Saccharomyces cerevisiae S288C: one gene and its partner. Changing the gene in region 1 together with any one later gene gives a genetic interaction. Each region holds a gene or a part of one and is shown in the gene's direction. Other genes may lie near its edges.

Evidence for each region. Genes that interact genetically often act in the same process or in processes that back each other up.
Region 2: of UBP10 (region 1) and YDR249C, a mutation in one rescues a mutant of the other (synthetic rescue), as found in Saccharomyces cerevisiae (2 studies listed by BioGRID, with this or other methods).

The regions. Positions count from the first base shown.
Region 1 is NC_001146.8:287,674-292,376, forward strand, and holds UBP10 (ubiquitin-specific protease UBP10), read left to right. Parts: upstream 1-1,824; coding exon 1,825-4,203; downstream 4,204-4,703. Other genes in the region: SWT21 (Swt21p), read left to right, coding at 321-1,394; mitochondrial 54S ribosomal protein uL11m MRPL19, read right to left, coding at 4,520-4,703. UniProt on the Saccharomyces cerevisiae protein: Deubiquitinating enzyme involved in telomere and HM loci silencing, which is the repression of chromatin structure which leads to a stop in the transcription of nearby genes.
Region 2 is NC_001136.10:955,868-961,475, reverse strand, and holds YDR249C (uncharacterized protein), read left to right. Parts: upstream 1-1,673; coding exon 1,674-2,795; downstream 2,796-5,608. Other genes in the region: PAM1 (Pam1p), read right to left, coding at 1-862; YDR248C (gluconokinase), read left to right, coding at 3,137-3,718; putative serine/threonine protein kinase VHS1, read right to left, coding at 4,078-5,463.

The DNA.
Region 1 (4,703 bases):
TTAAAGAGAGTATTATCACGGTCTGAAAATTAAGCAAAAAAAGAAAAGCGTGCACTTAAAAATCGGTGGTGGACAGACCGCATATTCCATAAACATAGATGGTACAAGGGCATTATGAGTCCTTGAATAGAAAAAATGATGAAAGAATGAATGCAATTCCGTATTGCGACACTGGCGAAGTGTTCGAGGCTGACACGATAGCGAATGTATGGAAAAGAGAAGATAAGGAATGGTTAAAAAGGACTCAAAGTGATCGAAGTGGATACGAGTATCCACGACTAGGAGAATCACCATATATCAATATGACAGACGACTTCAGAATGGAAAAGAAGGTAATATGTCAAGATATCTTTTGGTCATGTGATGGTACATCGTTTGTTTCTGTGCATAATGATTTTGGCATCAGACAATATTTAGTGCCGGAGGAAAGTAATACGGACAAGCTAAACAGAAACCTCCTTCTACCATTTACAAGGTTTTTTAGAAACCAGTCTATTGTTTCATGTGCAATAGACCCGTTTTACACGCTTTATAACGAGAATTCCGACAGGTTAGCTGGTGACAGAATCGTGGTTGGAGGAAAAAACTTCCCTCTACAACTATACTCTTTGATGGACGGGCAGTGTATCCTCAGCTATGACACGATGAACAAAATAAATGGAGAATACGAAACTGTATACAGTGTGAAAATCGATGTTGAGTCTCGTGTATACACTGGCTCATGCCGTAACAAAGTGGCGATATACGACAAGAGCAGACGAGATGCCGTGTGGATGAACCAGAGTACCAAAAAAGCAAGCAAGGGAAGACAAAGCATTATATCTTGCTTTGAAGAGCAACCAATGGGAGGGCAAGCTCTCTCAAGAGGATCTCTATTGTGTGGCAGTTATGCGAATGAAATGTTTCAGGTAGACTGCCGTCATCAACGACTAGAGAGACTGAACTACACCCGCACAGTTGCAGGTGGGATTGTACAAATCCTTACAAGCGATAACGGGCGTTACGTGTACGTTGTCAGACGCAACAGTGACGCGATTAGTATTTACGATCGGCGAAACCTGCAGCACGAGCTTAACGTATTGCGCCTACCGTTTCGGATCCACCACAACTCTGCAAAGTTGAAGGCATATATAGATACGGCTTACGGACTAAGTATGGGGACGCCGCAGGGAACAATATTGAACTGGGGTCGAGACCTTGTGGAATTTGGAGGTGTTCCCTCACACAATAGTGTTGAAGACCCACTAATCACGTCTATCCCGCCAGAGTCAGAGTGGCGCACTAACCTTGATTCTACTATTCCTGCCACGGTAGTGAAGAATTGTCCTGGGGATCCCGAACTGTTCGCCCTATCTCATGGGGGCACAATTTCATTATGCAGGTTCGGCGGCTAAAAACGGCAAACCCGTATTCGTGTATCACCCGGCCAGCTTTCTCCGATGAACGCGCACAAGTAAGAAGTTAAATTGCATCCCCCAGACACCACCTCTTTTGTTCACTTCTTGCCTCATGCCGTCAAAAAATTTTTTTCGCATCGAAAAAAATCCCCAAAAGAAAAGAAAAAAGTTCTTATTTTTATATAGTGCCACCATCGGGAAAAACTTCCCTGTAAAGCATTAACAGAGTCTTCCATCCCCGCTTCTGTCCTTTATTTGTTTCATAGAAGCTATTAAGCATCATATACTGCACACAGGAGCATGCATAGTGTCTGAAGCCTCTTTTGTTCTGTACTGCACATAATATTTCATAGAAAAACTAACGGAAAGAATCTACAACTCATAGTATCTGTAAATCCGTCCTATTGTCATATCACAATCACAGACTATGACCACTCAAGAATCGATCAAACCTTTGGTAGATAGAATCCTATCAAATCCCCTGCAGTTCAATGCTGCAATGATCTCTAACAAATCGAATAATAATGATACTTCCGCCGCGCCGGAAAATAGCTCGTATATTGTGATAGGAAAACAGCATAATAACAATAGTAATAGCACAGCTATTGCTGCAACGGCCGAATCCAAGCAAATAAAAGAAAATAACTTGATAGACAGGCCAAACGGAAAGAAAACCAACACTGTTCCTAAATCTATGGCTGAAGCTTTATTGTTGTATACTTCTAAAAATGATAAAGATGCTGCAGATGCTACTGGTGCCAAGAAGTCAGCGGAGCTTTCTACGGAGCTTTCTACGGAGCCTCCTTCCTCTTCTTCGGAAGATGACAAAGTAGGAAAAGAGGAAGAGGAAGAGGGTGAAATATTTCATGAGGCAAGAGACTATGTAGAACCCCGAAAAGCTAGTTTGAAGGAACGCGACAACGCAGATAAGGGCGATGGTGAAGACATCGGCGAAGACATCGGTGAAGACATCGGTGAAGACATCGGTGAAGACATTGGTGAAGACATTGGTGAAAACTTGGGTTCTCCATTAGCAACCATTGATGATTCATCTAATGAGAATGAAAAGGAAAAAAGAAAGGAACTGTCTACAAGCATTAGCAGTGATGACGAAATAGAAGACGACGAGGATGAGGATGACATGGATTATGATTCTAGTGCTATGGAAAAAGAGCTCCCTGAAGAAGAGGAGAACGATTCCAGCTCCAAAATTTCTGAAGGCGAAAAAAAGAGTTTATATCAAGATTTAATGGAAAATAGTACAGTGGAAGTAAATCGGTACGAACCAGTAAACAACACCAAAGAAAATGGAAACAGGAATCCAAAGGGAGAGGAGGAGGAAGAAGAGGAAGAAGAGCTGAAACATAAATCTAGGTCAATCACCCCTCCGGTTACAATATCAAATCTATCAAACTTTTACCAATTCAATGAAAATATCAATGATCGTGGTTCTTTAAACTCTACTAGAATTGTTAAAAATTGGGGCGACAAATTCACCAATTTGAAGCCTCGTGGCCTTTTGAATCATGGTGTTACTTGTTACACAAATGCTGCTGTACAGGCTATGTTACACATTCCTTCGATACAACATTATCTTTTTGATATACTAATGGGGAAATACGATAGCACCATCTCAAAAAATTCCGTTTCCTATACTTTAGCTGAAACAAGTAAAAAAATGTGGTTACCGGTCTCAAAAAACCCTAGAAAGAACGTTTCAGCTTCCTACATTAATCCAAAACATTTGATTTCCAGATTGGATGACATTAATTGTATGATGAGCGAATGGCAGCAGGAAGATTCACATGAGTACTTCATGTCTCTGATGTCAAGATTACAGGAAGATTCTGTTCCCAAGGGTCATAAACTTATAGAATCGATAATATATGACATATTCGGTGGTCTTTTAAAGCAGATCGTTACTTGCAAATCTTGTGGCAGTATATCTAAAACAGAACAACCATTTTACGATTTATCGTTGCACTTGAAAGGGAAGAAAAAACTTGATCCAAATTCTGACCTGTCGAGTGATAGCATTAACGGCACTTCAGCCACCACTTCTACCACTACCTCCAATGCTGCCACAAAACCATCTCTTTCATCCTCTTCATCTGTCAATTTAAACAATGGCTCACCATTTGCCGCTGCCAGTGATTTAAGTTCAGCCAACCGCAGATTTTCTATTGAAAAATCAATTAAAGATTTCTTCAATCCCGAATTAATCAAGGTTGACAAGGAGCAAAAGGGTTACGTTTGTGAGAAGTGTCACAAGACCACGAACGCCGTGAAGCATAGTTCAATATTAAGGGCTCCTGAAACTTTACTTGTGCATCTGAAAAAATTCAGATTCAATGGCACGTCCTCATCAAAAATGAAGCAAGCTGTTTCTTATCCTATGTTTTTAGATTTGACGGAATATTGTGAGAGTAAAGAGCTACCTGTCAAATACCAACTATTAAGCGTGGTGGTTCATGAGGGCCGCTCCCTTTCTTCAGGTCACTACATTGCCCACTGCAAGCAACCAGACGGTAGCTGGGCCACTTACGACGACGAGTATATTAATATAATATCTGAAAGGGACGTTTTAAAGGAACCCAACGCATATTATCTCCTATACACGAGGCTAACTCCAAAATCGGTTCCATTGCCATTGGCGAAATCTGCCATGGCCACTGGTAATGTTACCTCTAAATCCAAACAGGAACAGGCTGTTAACGAACCAAATAACCGCCCATTGAAGATTAATAGCAAGAAAAATAACAGAAAAAAATGGAAAAAAAATAAAAAAAGGAAGTTCACCAAATGAAAAAACTCGATATTCCTGGATTTTCCTCTTTTCATAGGCATTTTTATTAGCATTTCATTTTTATTATACCAAATCAATATATACATATAAATATCCGGTCTTTATTGACTTATAAAACAACTCTCAGTATACAGAGTTGGAGAAGCGTTTACTCAGAATAGCTTCAGTACTACCGAGCTTTGCTAACATAACGGGAGAAAGAGAATTTAAAACTTATATACATATTTACAGAATAGATCAGTAGAAAGAAGAAGGAAGGTCTGTTGAAAATTTCTCGAAATTGACGGTACTTTTTTGTCTTTTCACTACTTACAGATCAAGGTACAACCTTAATACCCATACTTTTTGCAACGCCAACTATTGATTTAACAATACCTTCCATCTCCAATAAACTATGCCTTTCATCACTCTTTTTTATCTTGGCTATTTCGTAAACGTGCTTCAGCGATAACTCTCCTAAAGCACGGGTTGGTCCCTTGGCAGGTGCACTGCCTAACATT
Region 2 (5,608 bases), on another chromosome or scaffold:
CTTCGCACTTATTCTTCCAATGTTTCAATATAGTCTGTTCATTTTGAAAATTTGGATTGTTCATGGCTATACCCATTTTTTTTATTATTAATAAGCTCTCGCCTAGTAAACCTGAAATAAGAGGTTTGGCCAAAACGTGGTCATCCAAGGTTGATGGATTCTTCTCTTCTAATATTATTAATAATGGATCGAAACATATTTGAGGCAAAGCTAGTTCCCATTCTTTTGCCAAGAAAGCGGAGGGAGAATGATCGTAAAGAGTCACAACGTCCCTAGGAAACAGTTTTTGGAACAATTTCTGAAATGTATTCAAAATAGGAATAATATCACTTGAATAGCTGTTTTCGTGAACGGATGTCGTTTGACCGATCGAAACAGAAAAGGATTTGGCATTTGCAGTCGTGAACTGTTTGTATGAGCCATTGTCCAACCGTCTTATGTCATAATCGGTGAAAATGCTGAAAATATTTGACAGCGAAAGATCAACTGAAGCCTTGATGAATGGCTCCAAATATATAAACCCGCTACTTTCAAATAGTATCTTTGTTGTCTTATTCATCATAGGTTTTATATCTCTCAATACCTGCGGGATTTCTTGCAGTGAAGACGCACTCATTATTATCAAGTCGAATACCAAGCCACCATTTTCATTATTAAGGTCTACTAAATCTAGGAGCGATTGGAAATGGTTTTGAATCTGAAACCGTTCCGTCCCATAAAATAGTGAACTAACCTCGTAGTTGGCATTTTTTGAGTTGTTCACAAGATAAAATTCTATATTTTTGGCATGTTGAAACCTGGATGTGTACAGAATGAGATTTGGGTGATCTCCGCATACCAAAACCCTTAATGCAGATGTCATTATTCAATATACCTATCGCGAGATATGCCGGGAATAAAATGTAGGAAACAAAAAGAAAAATATATGCACAGTAGTTCAAACAGAATAGAAATGACGGAGAGCAAATATTTGGGTAGAATCACAGACTTTAGTGTTGGTTACAAGCTTTTCGAATGGATGTAGTTTGTAATCAAAGGACACTAATAATAGCGAAAAAAAAAAGGGCAAGTATGTTGGCAGTCGCCTCTTTTTCAATTTAGCGGTAAGTTTTTAATGAATGGCCTGGTGATAATAGATATGAACAACTTCGCTATCGTGTATGCCAATATCACTTTTCTTTTCTACTACTTACTCGACTTTACTCTACCTTTTCATGTTTGTAGATTTCTGTTTCATTCTAGTCTCGAGAATGGCCCACAGCACGGCCAACAGGGGGCTGCGACAATTTCGCGTAGAGCCCATTGTGAAAAAAGCCACCCAAGCTATTATTGTACACAGAAGAATATGGAAGCAAATCGCCAGTGCTACGTGAATGGGACAAAAACATGATGCCTTGTTTAGTATTAGCATTTTAGATACGCCTTTTCAACTTCAAATTGTGCTATAGATAGGAAGATCTCTTTATTACGCAATATATGTTGTGTGTATTTAGGATAAGACTATATCGTCCAACCATACACCGCGTTTCATCTTGTCTTTTTTGCAGCTAGTAAGAATTAAGCATCAAGAATTGTTCAGTTTGCGATGAGTAATGAAATATATTTAAAGAGGACTAATGTTGTTAAAGTAAGCAGTGCTTTTTTCACGCAGTGTATTTTTAGAATAAGTGGCCATGGGTTATATTTTGACAGGATATTCTAGCCGTCATGATAAGAGAAAGAAACATGCACTTCCTTTGCATCGGTATGCATCGTCTTCGATAAACTTGCAGCACCATGTGCATCTCTTAGAGACCCGGGTTTCATCCAAGAGGCCAATATCGGAAGATCAAAGGACTATCAGGCTTCCTGCGAAGAAACTTAGGCATCATCAAAAGCTAACTTTGCAAGATTTACCTGTAGAGATTATTCAACATATTTTCGTTTTCACAAAGGGTGAACCGTCGATGGTCACCTTGAACAGGTTCTTCTATAGTTGCTTGAAGCCATCTTTTTCATTATTATCGAAGATCATGTGGGAAAAATATCTTTTCGATCCCCTGGAGTTTGGCGTAAGTAATATAAAAGCTTATTCAAGAAATATTGTGATCCCTACATTATTTGAGCATGAAACTTTTTTTAGACTACTACTAGATCATCATCCTATCCTGTTGAAAAATATTTCTCATTTTCTTCCCAGAAAGCACTATCAAGATATGCAGAATGGCGATTTTGATACATCTAAAGAGCTAGACTTGTGTTCAATGAACACTGAAGATACATCGAAAGAAGACTTCCCTAAAAACTTTTACAACAATATGCATATTTTTTTAACACGTAGGGAATGTGTGAAGTCTCTAGGTAATCATTTTACTTTGAAGAATCCATATGATGTGATATCCCCTTTTATAGAATGGTTTTTTCAAGGTATTGATATGCAAGGAACTGACCTAAGCCCTAAGTTTACCTTTGTTTCTCTATTTGAATCAATAGATTTAATCCTATACGTCTCTGGATCTACAGTGCAAAAACTAGCGTCTATTGAACCCCTTACGACTGTAATATTTTTATTATATTTCACGTATGCTGATTCACTAGGGAGTCTGAACTTTGAGTTTTTTTTGCAGAATAGATCAAGATTACAGCTCATAGAGAAATTTATCCTGAAATATTATTACAATCCATCATTGACAGAAAACGAACTTTTATCTGATAGCACTATATGGGACCTGTTAAGGCGGGTGTCTGATTTAAAACTCATAGATTTGGTCGTTAAATGCGGCGGAAGGCCTCAATACGGGGTTATGTTTGCATAATTAAATTACTTAGTATTAAGATTCTGCCCCTTGCATGCATGCACAATATGTGCTTGCCAATTCATTTATGTACAAAAGATGGTGTTATATAAGGAATATATTTTGTTTTCTTTGATATTTTCCCTTTCTCATATTCTTGCGGTTTTTCTGCTTTCATTACGTCGCTAATTAGTTTGTCAAAAATTATAACACCGTTAGTTTCCAAGCAATAATTATATAAGGTCCCGTTAAAAAATATCGATAATCAAAAGGTTTTCAAGTAGCAAGCAATAAATAGCTTTCCGAAGACTAAACAGGCTTTCATAGTGTCTCAGTAAGCGTATGGATGGACAACGCAGTTGATGACAGAGAAACACAAAACTATGGGGAAATTTAAGGTTATTGTATTGGCAGGTACTGCAGGTACAGGAAAATCAACCATTGCAGGTGAACTAATCCATGAATTTAAAGATATATACCCGGATTTGAAATTCATCGAAGGTGATGATTTACACCCGCCTGCCAACGTAGAAAAGATGACAAGAGGGATTCCATTAAATGACGACGACCGTTGGGACTGGTTGAAAAAAGTTGCCGTAGAATCTACAAAAGCTGCAGCAAGCACTAAGGAGCATTTGTCAATTGTTGCTTGCTCGAGCTTGAAGAAGAAATACAGAGATTTGATTAGGCACACATGCCCTGAATCGGAGTTCCATTTTATCTTTTTGTATGCAAGTAAAATAGAAGTTCTGAAAAGGCTCAAAACAAGGAAGGGTCATTTCATGAAAGCTGATATGATGGAGTCTCAATTCAGGGATCTGGAGTTACCAGACATCAACGACGAAACTGACTGTGACATTGTTCCCTTAGATTTCAAAACGTTTTATCAAATTGAAAAAGATGTTATACAGGTGGTAAAAAGTAAAGTTTTGAATATTGAGTAAATAACGCTTGGATAAAACGAAGTAAATATTAGAAACAGTTATATAGAAATTAAATACGGTGACCTGGAAAATTAACAAAGACAGAACAAATGTGAATGAATAATAATAGCAACTTCCAAAAAAAAAAAAGGGGTTACAGGGATCAACAAAAAAAAGCAAGAAAAAAAATGAATAAAGGGAATACCATAAAAACAAATAACATTAAACGGATGAGGGGGTCATAACGGAAGTGTGAATATAACTACAACTTGCTTTGGCAAGTAATATTTTCGGGAAAACAGATGATCATCAAGAGAAGGTCTATCAATTGTGGGCTTAAAACAGATGTGTAGTACACTTTTGTGCCAAAAAGGAGGGGGTTAGTTAGTTAAAGAAGAGGAACTCATGCGAAGTTCGTTGAATTTTTTTTCGAACAAGGAAAATTTGTTGGAAATCTTAGAACATTCGTTATCGGACTCGCAAGAAGTGCTTGTGAACGAAGAATGCAATCCAGTGTCTGTGTCTAGCGTTCCGAAACTGCCACTGCGACTGCCATTATCATCGTCTATCCCTTCTTTGATTCCATCTTCTTCCTCACTTGAAGATGTATAAGATAAATTCTTGGCAGCTTTACTATCGTGCATGTACACGTAGGATTTTGGAGACAAATTCTCATTCGTGTTATCGACGGGGCTAACGAACTTTTCATAAACAGACTTGGAAAGAGGCGGCACTTTTGATAACGGGCCTTCATTGGTGAAGCTTGTAATAGAACTAACTTCTTTCATCAACTCTTGCAAGCTCATTCTATTCTTCGGATTCACTTGTAAAATCTTAGATAATAATGAGTAAAAGTCATCGGAAAGCGGTAGGATTTGCTTTAGTATATTGGGATCCTTAGTGAAATAATAGTAGGTATTATCCTCGGTTTTGTCAGCCTTCAGCCAGGGATTTCTGATGCATGTCAAATTGATAAGGATGATACCTAATGACCACAAATCGCCATTACATGAGGGACAAACCTTACCCAACTTATGTCCCCCACTTTTAGAGCTGGAAACTCTCCCATCAAATGAGATTCTTTCAGGGGGCATATAATACGAGCTACCAATGCAAACATTTGGCTTTATATATGTGGAAGTAGTGGATAGACCAAAATCGCATAGGAAAACGTTATCTTCTGTATCCAGTAGCAAGTTTTCAGGCTTGATGTCACAGTGGTAGATGCCGTGCTCATGGCAATAATTAAGAGCAGAACAGATCTGTAGAAAAACCTTTTTTACTAGCAGTCCATTAGTGACAAAATGTCTGTTATCTACAATAGACGTGAATAGGTCTGTTGGGTAATAATCCATGACAATGAACGTGCAGACTGCAGATTGTAGCACCTCATGTATGGTGACAATGTTCTTATGATGGTGGACTCTTAGGTGTAGCGAAATCTCTTTATAATGGGGCAGCTTTTTAAAATCTTCTTCTGACATATTCTCAATTGATTCTAGATCTATAGAGGGCACCCTGACAACGTTTTTCGATTCCTTGAACAGTTTAGCGAGCTTCTTTTGCAATTTCACGCTATTTTTGTGTATTTTATCATTGCCCATATCAGCCTCCTTGCTAACACCGTAACTTTGAACAACCGCTTTGATAGCGTATTGTCTATCGGTACGAATATCTAAGGCACGGTAAACCAGACCGTACGCGCCTTCGCCAATTTGAGAAGTTATTAAGTAGTTATTAATTCTGCAATTATGGAACATCATCATTACTTTTTTCTTTTTTTTTTTTTTTTCTTTCTCTTATTTTATTTTACTTTAGTATTTCACCTTAGTATATTATCGTACAGTAAATGTTAAGAACTTTTGTAAACGTAACTCATAAAACAAAAAAACAATGGTAGCGCCAACACCA